Cricetulus griseus: one gene and its partner. The protein of the gene in region 1 purifies or fractionates together with the protein of each later gene. This does not show direct contact. Links are inferred from orthologs where the notes say so. Each region holds a gene or a part of one and is shown on either strand. Other genes may lie near its edges.

Evidence for each region. Proteins that work in one complex are often made in the same cells at the same time.
Region 2: the proteins of Hsd17b10 (region 1) and Trmt10c purify together in Homo sapiens (co-immunoprecipitation; 3 studies listed by BioGRID and IntAct, counting the BioPlex papers as one, with this or other methods). This does not show direct contact. The link is inferred for Cricetulus griseus from reciprocal best matches to the Homo sapiens genes HSD17B10 and TRMT10C.

What each region holds. Positions count from the first base shown.
Region 1 is NC_048604.1:107,497,221-107,501,411, reverse strand, and holds the start of Hsd17b10 (3-hydroxyacyl-CoA dehydrogenase type-2), read left to right. Parts: upstream 1-1,391; 5' UTR 1,392-1,504; coding exon 1,505-1,531; intron 1,532-1,888; coding exon 1,889-2,053; intron 2,054-2,936; coding exon 2,937-3,101; intron 3,102-3,217; coding exon 3,218-3,346; intron 3,347-3,609; coding exon 3,610-3,718; intron 3,719-3,887; coding exon 3,888-4,078; 3' UTR 4,079-4,191. UniProt on the Homo sapiens protein: Mitochondrial dehydrogenase involved in pathways of fatty acid, branched-chain amino acid and steroid metabolism. Acts as (S)-3-hydroxyacyl-CoA dehydrogenase in mitochondrial fatty acid beta-oxidation, a major degradation pathway of fatty acids.
Region 2 is NC_048597.1:36,042,973-36,046,900, reverse strand, and holds the start of Trmt10c (tRNA methyltransferase 10 homolog C), read right to left. Parts: upstream 2,801-3,928; 5' UTR 2,616-2,800; intron 357-2,615; exon of another isoform or gene 222-356; intron 1-221. UniProt on the Homo sapiens protein: Mitochondrial tRNA N(1)-methyltransferase involved in mitochondrial tRNA maturation. Component of mitochondrial ribonuclease P, a complex composed of TRMT10C/MRPP1, HSD17B10/MRPP2 and PRORP/MRPP3, which cleaves tRNA molecules in their 5'-ends.

The DNA.
Region 1 (4,191 bases):
CCACACATAGTGGCCACAACCTTTGGGCGTGGTTTCAGGTGTAGATGTTACTCATTATAAGATAGAGGAGGGGCTGGCCCGAGCTGTCTTGGTTATGGAGAACATAAGGAGACTGCATCTTCTGGAGCAGGAAGATGGCGGTGGTTATTTACTCTTATCTGTGTAAGTGCTTCCCTAATAAATACCTAATTATCATCTATCTTGGGTCTGGTGGAGTCATTTAAACCCCGCCTTCACCTCAGCACTTAGGGGCAGAGGCAGGTGAATCTCTGTGAGTTCGAAGCCAGCCTGGTCTACAGAACGAGTTCCAGGACAGGCTCCAAAAGCTACACAGAGAAACCCTATCTCAAAAAACCAAAAATAAAATAAAATAAAGATTGTTAATCTGGTGCTAAATCCTTTGATAAAGTAGTGAAAATCAATACAGGTATGCTGGCTGTCAACAACTAGGAGTCCTTGAGGGAAGTCCATTGGAGAATACTTAACATAGAAAAAAAACATAATGCAATTACAGTCAGAAAGTGTAGGCTGAGATTGGTGGGCCTGAAGACTTTGGGTTGAGGAAAAACATAGATGGAAGACAGATTAGATGTCCATCCTAAAGATTCTAATTTAGATACTAGTGAAAGCTCTTTTAGAATGACCAGAGACCTGAGTTTTTAACAACAGGCTGTGGATGAGGTCCAATCTAGTGTTCCATCTAGGCATCGAACACAGGAACATAGTAAAGGCTGAGGTGATGAAAGATGCCCTGGAATACCTGTTTTGTTATCCCCTCCACCCACAAGAATCAAGTGTGATCCTGTCTGACCTCTCTCCTTGCCTAGACATATTTGTCTCTGTTGCTGCTGCTTCTCTGTATCTCAGAAGCTTCTTTTTCTTTTCTTTCTTTTTTTTTTCACTCTCCTCAGCTGAGTATTCTGGAACCTGCAGTTGGGCTATTTGTAGCTGTTTGTAGAGTACTTGTTTAACGGGTACAGGGCCTTGGAGTTTGCTTCCATTACTGAAAAAAAAAATCTGGTTCTCTGCCCCTTTCGTTGTCTGTCCTGTAATTTCGTCTTTCTCCAAATGAACTGTGTCCTCCTGGGAAGTATGGACCTGTTACTCCTCTTCTGTGTATCCGCAGTACCCGGTAGAACCTCGCAGATAGGAATCGGTTTCACTTATACTTGAAAAGTTTTACTGAGAAAGGGACTCAGTTTCTGGCGTCCTCTGGTGGAGGTGGCTGCATGCCAAATGGTTAGCTAGAGAGCGGGGTGAAGGGGTGGTGATACCATGCAGGTGCCACCAGGTTGTTTTTACAAATAAAACGTTCCCTAGTCTGAGTCCTCGCCTTTCCCCTTTCCAAGGTCCCTGCGCAGCAGGCTACGCCCCTCCCCTCCCCCCTACCGTGCGCAGCCGCTGCTCCCCGCCCCAGTAGGCGTCTCTATGCCGGCCAATCAGCGAGCGCATGTGCAAGAGGGACTAAGTAAAAGCCCTCCTCTGGTGGCGAGACCGGTGCAAGATGGCTGCGGCGTGTCGGAGCGTGAAGGTAGACTGCTCTGTGCCTCTAACGTTTGTTTTTACGCAGGCTAGGTTAGGACTGCGCTGGCATGAACTAGAGAGGAGAGATCGGTGCCTGAAGGAAAGGGTCCTGCTTATCCGGGCCTGGGTTTGTGGTGGTTGGGCTCAATAGGTGAACGTCCAACTGCATGTGTGTGAGGGGTCACAGAGAAACTCGCGTGGGATGAGACACACACCCCCTCCCCCGCCGCGTCAGCGGTGTGGAGAGGAAGCACACTGGAGTCACTGACTGCCCCTGCTTCTTCGCAGAATTCAGGAACTGGCAGGTGAAAGGGTGGGGGTGGTTTGGACATTAGCAGTTCGTTTCACGTGTACCTCTTCACAGGGCCTGGTCGCAGTAATAACTGGAGGAGCTTCGGGCCTTGGCCTGGCTACGGCCGAAAGACTGGTGGGACAAGGGGCCACAGCTGTGCTTCTGGACCTACCTAACTCGGGGGGTGAGGCCCAAGCCAAGAAGTTAGGAGAGAGCTGCTTGTTTGCCCCAGCCAACGTGAGTCAGGACTTTACCGGAGTGTGCATGAGGAAACTTGGAGGGGGGAGGGTTGCTCCTAATTACTGCCTGGGTTCAGTCAGATGGTTTAGCCGGTAAAAGCACTTGCTGCCATCCATAACAACCTGAGTTTGATCCCCAGGACCCACATGGTATAAGGAAAGAACAGACTCTGACCTCCACACATGTGCTCTGGCGCAAACATGCCTGCACATGCATACAAATAAATGTAAGGGTGGTGAGTCCATCTCTCTTCATCTTTTGACCTGAGTCCCTGAGCACATAACATCACCTGCAGTAAGAATTCTAACACCGGGGCTCAGCATAATGGGCATGAGGACTGGACACACCAGGATTTCCTGGAGGAGATATGAACTGTTGGAAATGCCTATCTTGCCCAGTGATTTTATATTTACAGAGTTTACAGAGTTGAAAAACCTGAACTCAGCAGGAAGGGGTTTAAAAAAAAAAAGATCATGTTCCTGGGAGTAATTCTGCAAACAGGGTTGTATTGGAATATAGCTTAGTGGTACAGTTCTTGCCTAGCATGTGGGAGACCCTCAGTTTGTCAATTCTGCAAAAGAGAAAAAGCAAAACAAGTTTGTATAGTGCCCCAATTCATAGCAGCTGAGAATTACCAGGGGCTTATCACTCCAAAGAGAGTATAAATTTGAAAAATGCTTTGCAATACTTTTCTATAGTTCCTACCATTTTTCCTTTCACTTGTTTTTATCACAACTCTCTCTTGGCTTTCTTTTGCTCACACAGTTCTGTTCCTATTCAATTCTGTTCCCATTCAAAGACTGGGCTTCCCTACTCTCTAAGTTTAGTGCTCTGTGTATGCCAGGAAATGAATACCTTCCCTTCATTTCTCCCTTTCAAGGTGACCTCTGAGAAGGATGTACAAGCAGCTTTGACTCTAGCAAAAGAAAAGTTTGGCCGCGTAGATGTGGCTGTCAACTGTGCAGGTATTGCAGTGGCAATTAAGACATACAACCAAAAGAGGAACCAGGCCCATACCTTGGAGGACTTCCAGCGGGTTCTCAATGTAAGGCCTTGGCAGATCTCCAGGGGTAGGAATAAAAAATGTCTGGCTGTAGGCACTCAGCTTTTAAGCAAACAAAAGGCCTTACATCCTACATCGTGGTTCTACCCACCCTCTAGGTGAATCTCTTAGGCACTTTCAATGTCATCCGCCTGGTCGCTGGTGAGATGGGCCAGAATGAACCAGACCAGGGAGGCCAACGTGGAGTTATCATTAATACTGCCAGTGTGGCTGCCTTTGACGGTCAGGTATGTGGATGGGGCAAAGTTCTTTTTTTGTTTGTTTGTTTGTTTTTTTTGTTTGTTTTTTGAGACAGAGTTTCTCTGTGTAGCTTTGGAGGCTGTCCTGGAACTCACTCTGTAGACCAGGCTGGCCTCGAACTCACAGAGATCTGCCTGTCCCTGCCCCCTGAGTGCTGGAACTAAAGGCATGTGACACCAACGCCCATCGATTGGGGGTTGCAAAGTTCTTGTGGGGGCTCTCCCACCTATGATCTCCACTCTTTTTCCAGGTTGGACAAGCTGCATACTCTGCATCCAAAGGGGGTATAGTGGGCATGACACTGCCCATTGCTCGAGATCTGGCTCCCTTAGGCATCCGTGTGATGACAATTGCTCCAGGTAGACATTTCTTTCTCTTTTTTTGCCATACTTAGAATTGGGTGGGATATGTAGGCAGATGGGAGCAGATACCCACTACCTAGGTATCAGCAGCTTAGCACTAAAGTGAGGAAGTAGCAGGTAACTATGAAAACAAGACTGAACCTTTGATTCTGGTGCTCTTGTCTAGGTTTGTTTGCCACCCCACTGCTTACCACCCTTCCAGAGAAAGTACAGAACTTCTTGGCCAGCCAGGTGCCCTTCCCCAGCCGACTAGGTGACCCTGCTGAATACGCTCATATGGTACAGACCATAATTGAGAACCCATTCTTGAATGGAGAGGTCATCCGGCTTGATGGGGCCATTCGAATGCAGCCTTGAAGGGTGGCAGCAGGAAAAACACCAGCTTCTTTTCAGCTTGAAGGAAACCGAACAGCCATTTTGTAACTCTGCTCCAGTCACCCTCTGTGCCTAATAAACTCTCAAACTTACAA
Region 2 (3,928 bases), on another chromosome or scaffold:
TTCTCTAAGATGTGATCTTCCAGCTGTCAGAAAAACTGAAGTTGGCTCAACACAGAACCTCACACATTCCTTATTCTGCAGTTTGGTGTGAATGGACATGATGGTCTGACCAATGTAAACTCTGGCCACTGGGCCTAGGACATCTCAGAGAAACCTCCAAGTACTTGTCTAGAGCCTAGGGTGGAAATAGCATTGAGATAACACATGATTATCCACCTGAAAACTGTCTCCAAGGTCCCTTTGGGCAGCCTGCGCATTCAATAAGCTGCATATGCCACCAAGGAGGATAGTGTTTGCAACTATTGCACACTAGACCCCCATGGGGAAAGGAACCTGGTTGGCTTCATTGGCTGCAGAAGCAACTGATTTCTGAAGCACAAAGGGAAACCTCTGAACAACTTAGATGTTGCACATCACTAACTTAATTCTCTCACATATTACATCCCAACTGCAGTTTCCATTGCCCCTTCTCCTCCCAGCCCCTCTCCACTAATTTAACTCCTATGGTCCAAAACTTGTTGTGATCACTTACTGGTCAATTTTTAACTTTTTTATTTTTGTGAGACAAGGGTCTTTTATGTTGAACAGGCTAATTTTAAACACATCACCTTGAGTGGTCTGTCTCAGCCTCTGAAATAACTGGCACTACAGCTATGTATCACCACATGTTTTTATTTTACATATGAATTTCAACATATTTTTAAACAAAAGTTGACTCAAATATCCTTTTTAGATTTGTTATAGAAACAGGCCTAGAGGATCAATGTAACTAGATAGGAAAGTTATAAGACAATTGTAACTACAAGATACTGTAGTCTCCTTCACATACATATCCAATCTCAAGATCCTTCATGAATACAAAAAAGGAGGAAGACAAAATAAACAGGGAAGTTACATAAGATGACACCTAATAAAAGATAAAGAGATGCCACAGATGTTTTTGTGCTTCCAAAACAGAAATATAGAGCAGCTGATTAAAACAAATGTTTCAGCTCAGACTTCATAGCAAATATTGTAAGATAAAATGTTCAAAATTGGTGTGTGTGTATGTGTGTGTGTGTGTGTGTGTGTGTGTGTGTGTGTGTATCTCCATAATTTTATCTTAAGTACCTATATGTTCCTTCCACAAGACAATGAAGATGCTTAGTTTGTTAACTGATGCAAAATGTGAGGGGAAAGAGAAAATTACTGAAAAAATCCCAACCTTTAGCTTCCTTGCACACTCCTAAATGTCCTTGCTGTCTCTGGCCTGTGCAGATGCCCAGATACACTCCTCCCACCCCCAAATAATCATAATTTTATGTCCCGATAAGTACCAAGTTCATTAATGTGGCTTATAAGCAGGTTTTCATAATAGCATTCCTTTGCCTTTTCAGCTGTACATCTCTTTACCATTTCACACTTTCAACAGTCCTATTAGTTTTCACAGCACCCTGTGTCTATGACCATGCTTGCAACACTCTAATATTTGTTTTCCCCACGAGAAGCTAAAGACTATATTCCATTACAATAAGGATTATGTTAAACGTTCATTCTCACAGTTAAAAAATGTTCAGAGCCAGGCTTGGTGGCACACACCTTTAATCCCAACACTCCAGAGACAGAGGCTGATGAATCTCTAAGTTTGTGGCCAGCCAGGGATACAGTAAGACCCTGTCTCAAAACACAAAAACCAAGCCAGGCGGTGTGCTCGCCTTTAGTCCCAGCACTCAGGAGGTAGAGGCAGGTGGATATCTGTGAGTCTGGTCTACAAGACCTAGTTCCAGGTCAGCCTCCAAAGCCACAGAGAAACCTGGTCTGGAAAAACCAAAAAAAAAAAAAAAAAACCAAAACCAAAACCCAGCCCAGGTGGTGGTCTCCCACACCTTCAGACCTAGCAACTGGGAGGTGGATGTCAGTGTGTTCAAGACCAGCCTGTTCCAGGACAGCTAGGACTGTTACAGAGAAATCCTGTCTTGAGAAACCATTTTAAAAAAAACATTCAAACCTTAAAGATTTAAAAAACAAACAAACAAACAAGAAACTGACACCGAACTTTGAGAAATATTTAGCTTAGGATCTTCAGGACCTGAATTTGACAAAGGGATTTCAAAAACATTATCTTGGGCCAGGTGTGGTGGCATAGGCCTCTAATCCCATGAGATCCTGCCTCAAAAAAAAAAAAAATTATAAAAACAAAATAGTTGAATTTTGCCTTTGCAGTGTAGAAAGATTTTGTAATAGTACAGAAATTAAAGCCTAAAAAAAAAAGAAAAATAATTTTTGCAGATTCTCCACTCTTTAGCGCAAGCTGGCCTCAAACTCCAGACAGATCTCCTGCCTCAGGCTCCACTGGCCACACTTATTACGGAAACCTACTTAATTTTTCTTTTTAAAGAGGTGTGTGTGTGTGTGTGTAATTATGTACGCGGGCACGAGGTCACCTGGCCAGGGTTACAGACACAGTTGTGAACTTACAAAGTGGGTGCTGAAAACCATGCTCAAGCCTCTGCAGGAGCACTAAACGTCTCAAACGCTGACCGGGTCTCTCCAGCCCCGCATAACTTACATTTTAAAGCAAATAGCGGAGACAATTTTGGTAAGCCCGGCTTTGCTTCAGGCAGTGTATTACTTACAAAATCACAGCTTAACACACACGCTCCACAACCTGCATCCGGGAAAACCACGCAGGCCGAGGACACCGGCTGCGGGAAGCCCGTGGGCCAGGAATGCGGCCGAACGCGGGGACTCGCGAACTGGGCGAGGGCGCCTCCCCTGCACGCCTTACCGTGCGCCGCACATGCCGAAGCGGAGCCGGGGGTTTCCGCTGCGGCCGCCGGAAATCCGGCACCGCCGGAAGTCCCGCCTCGTCCTCTCGGCGCTGCCTCTGACGTTTGTCCCTGCCAGCGGTTTCCCAGCTTGAAGTCGGTCCGCGGTCTGCCAGTGAGCCCTTGTGAAAATGACCAAGGCCGGCGCTGGTCATCGGCGCCCCGTCACCCTACTTACTAATTAGTTGTTAGAACTCGAATCCCCTTAACCGGTCCTCAGCTCGGCTGCTGTGTTTGTATGTATGTCCTAACAAAGCGACCTGAGCGCAGATCCTGCAGTTCTACTTTAAAATTTAATTCTAGCCAAGTTTATCTTTAATCTCAGCACCAGGGAGGCAGAGGGATCGCTTAAGTTTGAGGCCAGCCTGATGTACACAGCTAGTTCCAGGACAGCCAGGGCTACACAGGGAGACCCTGTCTCAGTAAACCCCCCCAAAAAAAAAACAAAAACAAACAAAAAGATTGTTCAATAGCGTTTGAGACAAGAAGGAGACCCCACACACACACACACACACAGCGGGGGACTGCTTTCCAACACAGGCAGAAAACCAGCAAATGACCTTTGCTGGTGTAATCTTTACGAAGAGAGGAAAAAAAAAAAAAAAAGCCTGGCTTTGGTGGCAGCACTTGGGAGGCAGAGGCAGGTGGATCGCTGTGAGTTCAAGACCAGCCTGCTCTACAGAGTTCTAGGACAGGCTCCAAAGCTACACAGAGAAAAGCCTTGTCTCGAAAAAAATGAAAATCAAAACGAGAGAGAGAGAGAGAGAGAGAGAGAGAGAGATCCACCTGTCTTTGCCTCCGGAGTGCTGGGATGAAAGGCGTGGTCCACCAACGCCGGGCCAAAGGGGGTTTTGATTGCTGGACTTTAATACTTCCATAGCTGGACCTTGGTATTCAGCCTCAGGGGGAGGAAGTGGCCAGACAAGGAAATAGAGCTTGATGGCTATCTTTAGGAAGGTAATCTAATGGTTTTTTAGCAAGGCAGAGGGGATGGGAGAGAAGGGTAAGGCCTGCCAGAGCCATCCATGCTCACCATGCTCCATCTAGCCAGAGTCCCTTCCATATCAGTAACCACTGAAAGTAAAAATCAATAATTCATTGCTAGAGGAAAGGCAACATTT